Coturnix japonica: one gene and its partner. The protein of the gene in region 1 interacts with the protein of each later gene in a pairwise test. Links are inferred from orthologs where the notes say so. Each region holds a gene or a part of one and is shown on either strand. Other genes may lie near its edges. The genes, in order: BCCIP and RPL23.

The links.
Region 2: the proteins of BCCIP (region 1) and RPL23 interact in binary tests that used the Homo sapiens proteins (3 or more experiments, as listed by UniProt). The link is inferred for Coturnix japonica from reciprocal best matches to the Homo sapiens genes BCCIP and RPL23.

The regions. Positions count from the first base shown.
Region 1 is NC_029521.1:28,918,374-28,922,858, forward strand, and holds the start of BCCIP (BRCA2 and CDKN1A-interacting protein), read left to right. Parts: upstream 1-1,512; 5' UTR 1,513-1,546; coding exon 1,547-1,663; intron 1,664-1,874; coding exon 1,875-1,949; intron 1,950-2,063; coding exon 2,064-2,144; intron 2,145-2,682; coding exon 2,683-2,778; intron 2,779-3,287; coding exon 3,288-3,475; intron 3,476-3,918; coding exon 3,919-4,093; intron 4,094-4,485. UniProt on the Homo sapiens protein: During interphase, required for microtubule organizing and anchoring activities. During mitosis, required for the organization and stabilization of the spindle pole.
Region 2 is NC_029542.1:3,753,297-3,757,422, reverse strand, and holds RPL23 (60S ribosomal protein L23), read left to right. Parts: upstream 1-1,698; 5' UTR 1,699-1,815; coding exon 1,816-1,828; intron 1,829-2,108; coding exon 2,109-2,192; intron 2,193-2,387; coding exon 2,388-2,516; intron 2,517-2,694; exon of another isoform or gene 2,695-2,828; intron 2,829-3,151; coding exon 3,152-3,265; intron 3,266-3,438; coding exon 3,439-3,521; 3' UTR 3,522-3,563; downstream 3,564-4,126.

The DNA of each region.
Region 1 (4,485 bases):
GTCATCAAGGAGAAAGCTGCAAAGGAAGGAACAACCCCTACAAGGCAGTCATGTTCAGCAATGAAATGTGCTTCTGGCTGTAACACCTTTATCCCATGCTGCTCTACCCTGTTCCAGGGCTCACACCTGTTGCTCATACACAGAAGGGAAGGAGGTTCTTTGTTCCTTACGTGCTGACTGGTGCTGAATTCAATGACTGATCCCAACACTTGGGCAAATACAACAAGCAGCAAAGGAACATGGATGGCTGTCCAACACAGCACATTACAACAGCAGCTTGCAGCTCAACACGCTTAAGGGGTCAAGAACCCCAACAAGCATCGCCAATGAATCATTAAGAGAAAGCACACAAGACATGGCAGCTTCAGTAACAGCGATTACAGTGCGTATCTCCAATTCCCCACTCCCTCCCATCTGAAAAGCTGCCTCCAAACTAATTGCAAACTATTTCTATGAGAGAGGATGGCTTCCAGAAAGAAAGAAATGTGTCCTGCTGTTTCTGCTTCTGAGTGACACTGAGAGCTGCAAAATACATCAAGCTTTAATATAACTCCAGCTCCTCTTTTATTGTAAGAAACTGCATAGGTCGCACAGCAAGGATTGATTGCCAAGCGTAACGGGAATGTCATAAACTGAAATGGAAGTGAATTACAAAACACTGCTGACATATGCTCTGAAAACAACCCTTTTCTGATGTTATGTATTTTTTACCACTATTCTTTCCTAGCAAATAGCTGAGTTCAATAACCAGAGAAGGAAAGAAAGATTACCTGTGAGATAACATTGTATATACACCATTAAACACAAGCAACTTTTCTGAATAATAATTCCTGCCATTCAGGTGTCTACATCCCAAAACCCAACCCTGACCTGGCAATCCCCTGGGACTGCAGGACTCAGACCTCTTATAGAATCATTCAGGCTGAAAATGACCACTCAGATCCCCCAGCACAACTTGAACTAATCCAACCAAACTGACCTGACCCAACCCAACCCAACCCAACCTGATCCAATCCAACCCAACCTGATCCAATCCAATCCAACCAACCCAATGTGACTCAATCCAAATGACCCAACCTGAATCCAACCCAACATGAATCCAACCCAACATGAATCCAACCCAACTCAACCAACCCAACCCAACCAACCCAATGTGATCCAACCCCACCAGCCTGACCCAACCAACCCAACCTGAATCAACCCAACATGACCCAGCCCAACTTGTCCCAATCCAACCCAACTTGCCCCTCCAAGGTAAGGCAGCCCCCATCCATGTAGCACACACACAGCTGACATCCCCCTGTGCACACACTGCAGCATGGCTCAGGCCCCTCCTAGCGACTTTATTAGCACTCGTCCCCGTCATTAACGACACACAGGGCCTTACATGAAACACGGTGCGACTGAGGCTCACCCATTAATAGCACTTATGGGCTTTGATCTCCCCCTCTCACCTGCCCCGCTCCGCTCCCGGCCGCCCCGGCCCGGCTCCTCCCCTCCCTCCGCTCTCCCTTCCGTGTCCGCCTCGCATGCGCACAGCGCCAATATGGCCACGCCGGCCAAGCGCAGGGCAAGGCCTGCAGCCCCGGAACGGGACTCGGGATCGGATTCGGAGCCGGAATCGGGAGATTCGGAGTCCGAGGAGGACGAGCAGGTGGACGAGGTGAGCAGGGGGATGGACGGGGTGAGCAGGGGGACGGGGTGAGCAGGGGGATGGACGGGGTGAGCAGGGGGTTCCGTTTGGCCGGTAGGAGAAGTTACCCTACTAAAATGGGGGTGGGGACAGGCTGATGGTAGCAAACCTTATCGTCTCTTAAAGCCCCGGCTCCGTTTTCCTGCTCGCCAAATCCGCTTAATTTTCCCTATTTTTGTAGGAAGTGAATGTTGAATTTGAAGCGCATTCAATATCAGACAGTGACTACAACGGGATAAAGAAGCTGCTGCAGCAGGTACTGTGCATCATGTCAGCAGGGATGATGCTTATGTGGATAAACAGCTGCAAGGAGGCAGCAGCTCACATTGTCCGTACTGCATCTAAACCAGCCTTGCTTTTTGTTTTCCAGCTGTTTCTAAAAGCTCCCGTTAACACCGCGGAGTTAACCGATATATTGATACAACAGAATCATATTGGAAGTATCATCAAGGTAAGGCAGAAGTGGCTGTTGTAAATTAAGTACAACGTTGCTTGCTTTGAAATGCAGCATTGCATTTCTGGAAGTGAGTCGTGTCTTCAGTGCTGTTTGTAACTTGCTTGACTTTGTTTGGGGATTAATTCTCCTGTTGGACCTGATATTTTCCATGCCAAACAGTGAAACTGGTTTATTGTTATGTGCAATTTATAGAGTCATAGACTCACAGAATGGCCTGGGCTGCAGAGGCCCACAGTGATCATTCAATTCCAACCCCCTGCTGTGTGCAGGGTCACCAACCAGCAGCCCAGGCTGCCCAGAGCCACATCCAGCCTGGCCTTGAATGCCTGCAGGGATGGGGCATCCACAGCCTCCAGTTTCCTCTTGTGGGCTTTAGAAAGGACCCTGGAATGGGTCCTGAGTTTTTCTGCCCAGCATTAATATGATTCTTAGGTAACAAATGTATCTTCTGGAAAGCAAACAAACATATTCCAGTGCAAGGAGTGGAAATAGAATGTCAGTGTGAATTATTTCTCTTTCTTTCATCAAACAGCAAGCAGAAGTACAAGAAGACAGCAGTGATGATGATGATGTTGATGATGATGAAGTCTTTGGTTTTATAAGCTTCCTAAACTTAACTGAAAGGAAGGTTGGTATTCCTGTTTAACTTCTGGGCTGATGTAAGTGTGGCTGTGTTCTGCTTTTCTGCTTGGAACAGCATGTTGTGATAGTTGGATGAGGATTCTGAATCCTGCTGTGGAGGATTATGGGCTTGGAAGTTCTGCATCACTTCGGTTTCTTTTGGATCTAGTCCTGCATAACTTGCTGAAGGTCAGAGAATTGAAACAGAGAATTAAGACTGATCTGACCAGTATTTCCAGGGCGGCTGAGCTGCCTACTCTTCCATTTCTTTACTTCCATCTTGAGCAGCTGTTGAGTTTTGCTATTAAATGTTGTGGTGTCGTAGCTCCTCACTGCGCTCCTGTCAGTAAAGAATTTTTGGTTTCACTCTTCTTCAGGGTTGCGGAATTGTGCATTGCTTCAGGAACCACTAAAGGAGTCTGTCTATAGGACTGTTGGATCCTCCCTTGAAGCTGGTGATTTTCTTGTGTAAACAGTTGTTGTGTAACATAAAGAATGTGTGCCTTTCGATTCTAGGGTACACAATGTGCTGAACAAATCAAAGAGCTGATTCTAAGTCGGTGTGAGCAAAACTGTGAACAGCGCGTGGTTGAACAACTGGATGAGCTCCTGAAGGATGATACTAAGCCTGTGGGTTTGCTGCTGAGTGAGAGGTTCATTAATGTACCACCACAGATTGCTTTGCCCATGCACCAGCAGCTTCAGTAAGTGGTTTTCGCTGTGTTTTATTTCATGTTTTATTTCGTGATTAACATGAAGATGATCAATACTTCATATCTCTTGTATAGTACTGTGGTAAGAGAACTGATGCTCTCAGTAAGACGTAAAAACAAAAAGATGATTTTCATCTGTAAGGTCTATGGTTTCACTTAGTTTTTTAAACACCCTTGGGCTTTCAAACTGTGCTCTTACAAATAATGTGCTGTAATACTGTCTTAGCTACTTCCTTAGAGAAAACCAGCTATGTTATAGTTCAACTTTGTATTACAGTCTGTTTTTACTTTCAGCTGGGAGAAGTTAAGGGACTTAAGGGTGTAGTACAAATGGACTTTCTAAACTAACACACTGTGGGATTTACACTTGCTGAGGCTTTTAATTATGGACACTCATGATTAAATGGTACACCTGAATATTTATTTATCTTCAGGAAAGAATTAAAGGAGGCGCAGAGAACAAACAAACCTTGTGGGAAGTGTCACTATTACCTTCTTATCAGCAAAACCTTTACAGAAGCCACAAAGAATTCTAAGAGGAAAGAAGGGAGAAATCAGCAGAAGGAGGAATTAATGTTTGCAAATGCAGAGGAGGAATTCTTTTATGAGGTAACGTACACAATTCTATTACTTTAAAATGTTGATTTTTTCATTGCAACACTTGCAAAAAAGGTGTTTCACCTAAACTTCCAAGGTTACTTCCAAAAATACCACAAAATGAGGTGCTGTTTCAAAACGAATCAGAGGGGCACTGGTTTCTCCTTTTGCTTTTTATTCTGATGCCATTAAGCTGTAACAATGGCGATCATTTTAGTATTTAATGTGAATTTTACAAATCAGATGAGAAGCAAATAGTTTATGGCTCTTAGTAGTCGGTTGTTTTGGTTTAATAGTTGGTTTAATTGTAGGTTGTTTTAGTGGGCCTCTTGCATGGGAGAAAGTAACTATCTTCCTCATAAGACTTCATTGGGTTTGCTTTGCTCAGATTATGTATTATCTTT
Region 2 (4,126 bases), on another chromosome or scaffold:
ATGGGATACAACACTGATGGATCAACGTCGGCCGATTCCCAGCGTCAGGAAAAAACCTCATCCGTGAAAAATGCGGCCCCGGGGTCTGCACGGCTCAGGAATGTCGCTGCGCGGATCGGCGCATTCCGAGACTTACTTATTTTAGAAGCTGCTGGAGCGCCCCTGAATGGGGGGAAGGAGGGGGGCGGCTCCGGGGGTCCCGTGGGGGCACAGAGACAGATCGCTACACCCTCCCCCCATCTCACATCACCCTCTCGTCGAGGCCGGAACATCGGCACAGAAAAGCTTTATTCTTAACGTGAAAAGTCTCCAAAGCGATACTGAAAGCGAGAGAGAGAACAAGGCGAACCGCACAGCTCCGGGGACGCGCCCGTTGGAACCGGAGCTTAAAAAGAAACCCCCCCCTTTTGCTAATGGGATCCAGATGGGTTCCGCCTCGTTGTGCTGCGGGACACGGAGATCGCGGTGGACGGGGGTTGGGTTAAGGGGGATTGGGGGGGGGGGGGTTCGGGATGTCTCCCCCCGCACTCACCTTATATCCAGGCAGTTTCACCTTCTCGGTAGGATACACGATCTTCCCCGCACCGGGCGCAGTTGGGGTTCATGCCGCCCCGCTCCCCCCGCCGCCTCGTCCGTCCTCTGGGCCGCCGCCCGCGGAACGAGCCCCTAAATATAGGGGGGGGGGGGGGGGAGGAAAAGGAGGAGGGCGGACGGGGGCGCGCGGGGCGGGGGCGGCAGCGCGCTCACACCCACGCGCAATCGCCCCGCCGCCCTCATGCGCGCTCCCGTGTCCCTTTGCACGCCCCCCCCCCACGGGTGCGCGGCCCCGGAACCACAGCCACGCGCTTTGCTCCTCGGGCCGCTCCACGTGTCGCATTCCCCCCCCCTCGACATACACCCGCACAAGGAAGCGACGAGCTGCGGCCGCCGCCATCCGGGGGTATAGCTCAGTGGTAGAGCATTTGACTGCAGATCAAGAGGTCCCTGGTTCAAATCCGGGTGCCCCCTCGTTGGGATTTTAGCTTTTCCCTCCTATACATCCCATCCCATCGCATCCTCAGCCGCACCGCGATGCTCCGAGGGCGGTTTATTCTCATTTAGCTCATTTAGATCAGGGGCAGCTGCCGTCAATGCTCACAACGGGGCAGTGCCATCACAGAGCTGCTATCAATGCTCATAACGGAGCTGTGCCATAACGGAACTGCCATCAATGCTCATAACGGGGCTCCACCAGCTCCAGCCCTTCAACCCCCCCCCAAATCGCTTTGCTTTGAGCCCGGCTCCATCCGTCTCCCTTCATACACCGACCTAAAGGCGCTGTGTGTGCCCTGCATCCCTTCACCCAGCTCATAGCTGCAGTTATTAATGCTAATTAATAATGCTAATTAATAACCCCAATCAATATTCAATCCCCATTCTAATATCGCTATAGAGCCCATAGGAACGCAATAAAGTCAGCTCCCATATACTAACATGGAGCGGGGGTATAGCTCAGTGGTAGAGCATTTGACTGCAGATCAAGAGGTCCCCGGTTCAAATCCGGGTGCCCCCTCTTTTCTTTTACTCCCACCCTCCGCTCTTTCTGTCTTTATTTTAGAACAAATACACCTAAAAAAAGAGTTTTTCAGCCTAATTCGCTGGCGTTGATCACTCGGTTGCCGCTCCCGGTTCTCCCGGTTCTATTTATAAACGCCTGCAGGGGGCGCCGGTTCCGCTCCGTTTCTTATCACGTGACCTCCCATCACGTGACATCCGCTTGGGGGACGTTCTATTTCCCAGCGTGCTTTGCGCGCCTCCGTCTCTTCCGGTGCCAAGATGTCGAAGCGAGGTGAGGCGGCTGCTGGGCCTAGTCGGGATCCGGTGCCATCCGCCGCCCTGCGGTGTGTGAGGGGCTGCCGAGAGGGGCGAGGAGGATGATCGGGTGGTGCCGATGATGTACCGGGTGTTGATGATGATGTACCGGGTGCTGATGATGCATCATACGGGCCTGGGCCTAACCAGGAGCGGTGTGAGGCCTACCCGGTAGTACAGGCCGCACCCGTTGTCCCATAGGCCGCAGCCCCCTGTCACTTTATGGCGGTGAACTCACTGCTCTCCTCTGCCCGCAGGACGCGGAGGTTCCTCCGGAGCGAAGTTCCGCATCTCCCTCGGTCTCCCCGTTGGAGCCGTGATTAACTGCGCTGATAACACAGGTGGGTGCCCCCGTGTTATGGATGGGACGGGGTGTAAAGCCGGCAGCCGGGGGGGGGGGGGATGCAGCCGGGGGTCCCTTATGTTGCTGCGGATGGGCAGAGCAATGCGGTATCACTGTGTTTCTATGGGTGATGGGATGGGGGTCCCTGCAAGGGGAGAATCTGGCCATGGATAATGAGCTTTTCTCTTTACAGGTGCCAAGAACCTGTACATCATCTCCGTGAAGGGGATTAAAGGGCGACTGAACAGGCTGCCAGCAGCTGGAGTGGGTGACATGGTGATGGCGACTGTCAAGAAGGGCAAACCAGAGCTGAGGAAGAAGGGTAAGGAGCAGCCGGGCCTGCTGTGTCTGCATGGCATTCCTCAAAGCATCCAGGCAGCTCCTGCTCAGTCTATCTGCATCTCATTGTCCTCCCATGGGATGGAGGGGGCAGGTTTTGCCTTGTATTCACATAGGAAAGGATCAGAAGGCAGATGTCCCCTTCGTGGAGTGTTTGTTCCGCCCTTCTCAAAAGCACTCGTTGGGTCTTTGTGCCGTGGCTCAGTGAGTTGTCGTGGAAGGGCAGAGAAAAGGGCATCGCTTTTGGGTGAAGTGGCAGCTTGTGCTGTTTGTTTCAATCAGCGATGTGACACGGCCTTGGGAAATGGGGGGTCTCCCCCTTTCCTCCCCCCCCACAAGAGCTGGAATTGCTGAGTGCCATCTCTGAGCTGACACACATAGAAGTAAGGCTGAGCATCATCTCCAAACAGAGATTTTGCCACCAGTTTTTAAGTGGAACACTGAGAAGCTGAGAATAGGAGCGAGCGAGGTGTCAGCCCTGCTGATCCTATGGGCTGCATTTTGTGAGCCCAGGGTGTAATTCAGCTCCTTGCAAAGGTGTTGGGAGGGGAGTTAAGTGTTGGGTTGTGCTGTGGGTGATGCTGAAGAAGGCTGATGTGCTGTTGTGTCTCTTGGCAGTGCACCCAGCGGTGGTCATTCGGCAACGAAAATCATATAGGAGAAAAGATGGAGTGTTCTTGTATTTTGAAGACAACGCGGGTGTCATAGTGAACAATAAAGGTGAAATGAAAGGTATGGGAAAGCAGAATCCTGCATTAAGCCTAAGAGAAACATGGGCTGGGGTTGGTGTGCTTGGTTATAGGAGGGCTTTGCTCACCTGGGCCAAGGACCTGGGTTCTATTTGGACCTGGGAGAACACAACCACATTGACTGAGCTCTGATGTGCTGTTATTTCTTTCCTCCAGGTTCAGCCATCACAGGCCCCGTGGCCAAGGAATGTGCAGATCTGTGGCCCAGGATAGCCTCCAATGCAGGAAGCATTGCGTGAACACGCGTGGAGATGGAAATAAAAAGTACTTGTACCAAAAAATGGTGTCTGCCTTGTTGTTAGGATTCGAGTTGGCTCCTGGTGGTGCTGGGGGGGATTCATGAAGCCTCAGATGTGGGTGGGTTCAGCAGGAGGAAACTGGCTGTGGAGCTGAGGTGGTGATTAGTCTTAATGAGGCAGAACCATCAGCATTTGGGGGGTGTTTGTAATTGAACTGGTCCAAATTTGGCGTGCAGTGATGGAGGCTGGGAGCTCTGAAAGGCCTTGTACACAAACTTTGTGCCTCTCCATTTTCCTCCAGGACGAGAGATTGAACAGCTCAGAGAGAAGTGATTCTGAAAGGGGGGGAAGCTACACCTGGATGTGATGAGCCCCCTGTGCAGGTTGTATGGCAGAGCACACTAAAATGATCTCTTTAGTCCTTGCTGAGGACAATACAAGGACACATGGAGCCCACTGCTGTCAGCTGAGGCGGTGGCTGTTTGCACGTGCCTCAAAGCCTCGATCAGTGGTGAAACAAGTCGTCAGGTCACTGGTTAATTGCAGGAGCTGGGGGCTGATGTGACTTTAGGGTTCATCTGAAGAGCTTTGTGATCAGAGCTGCA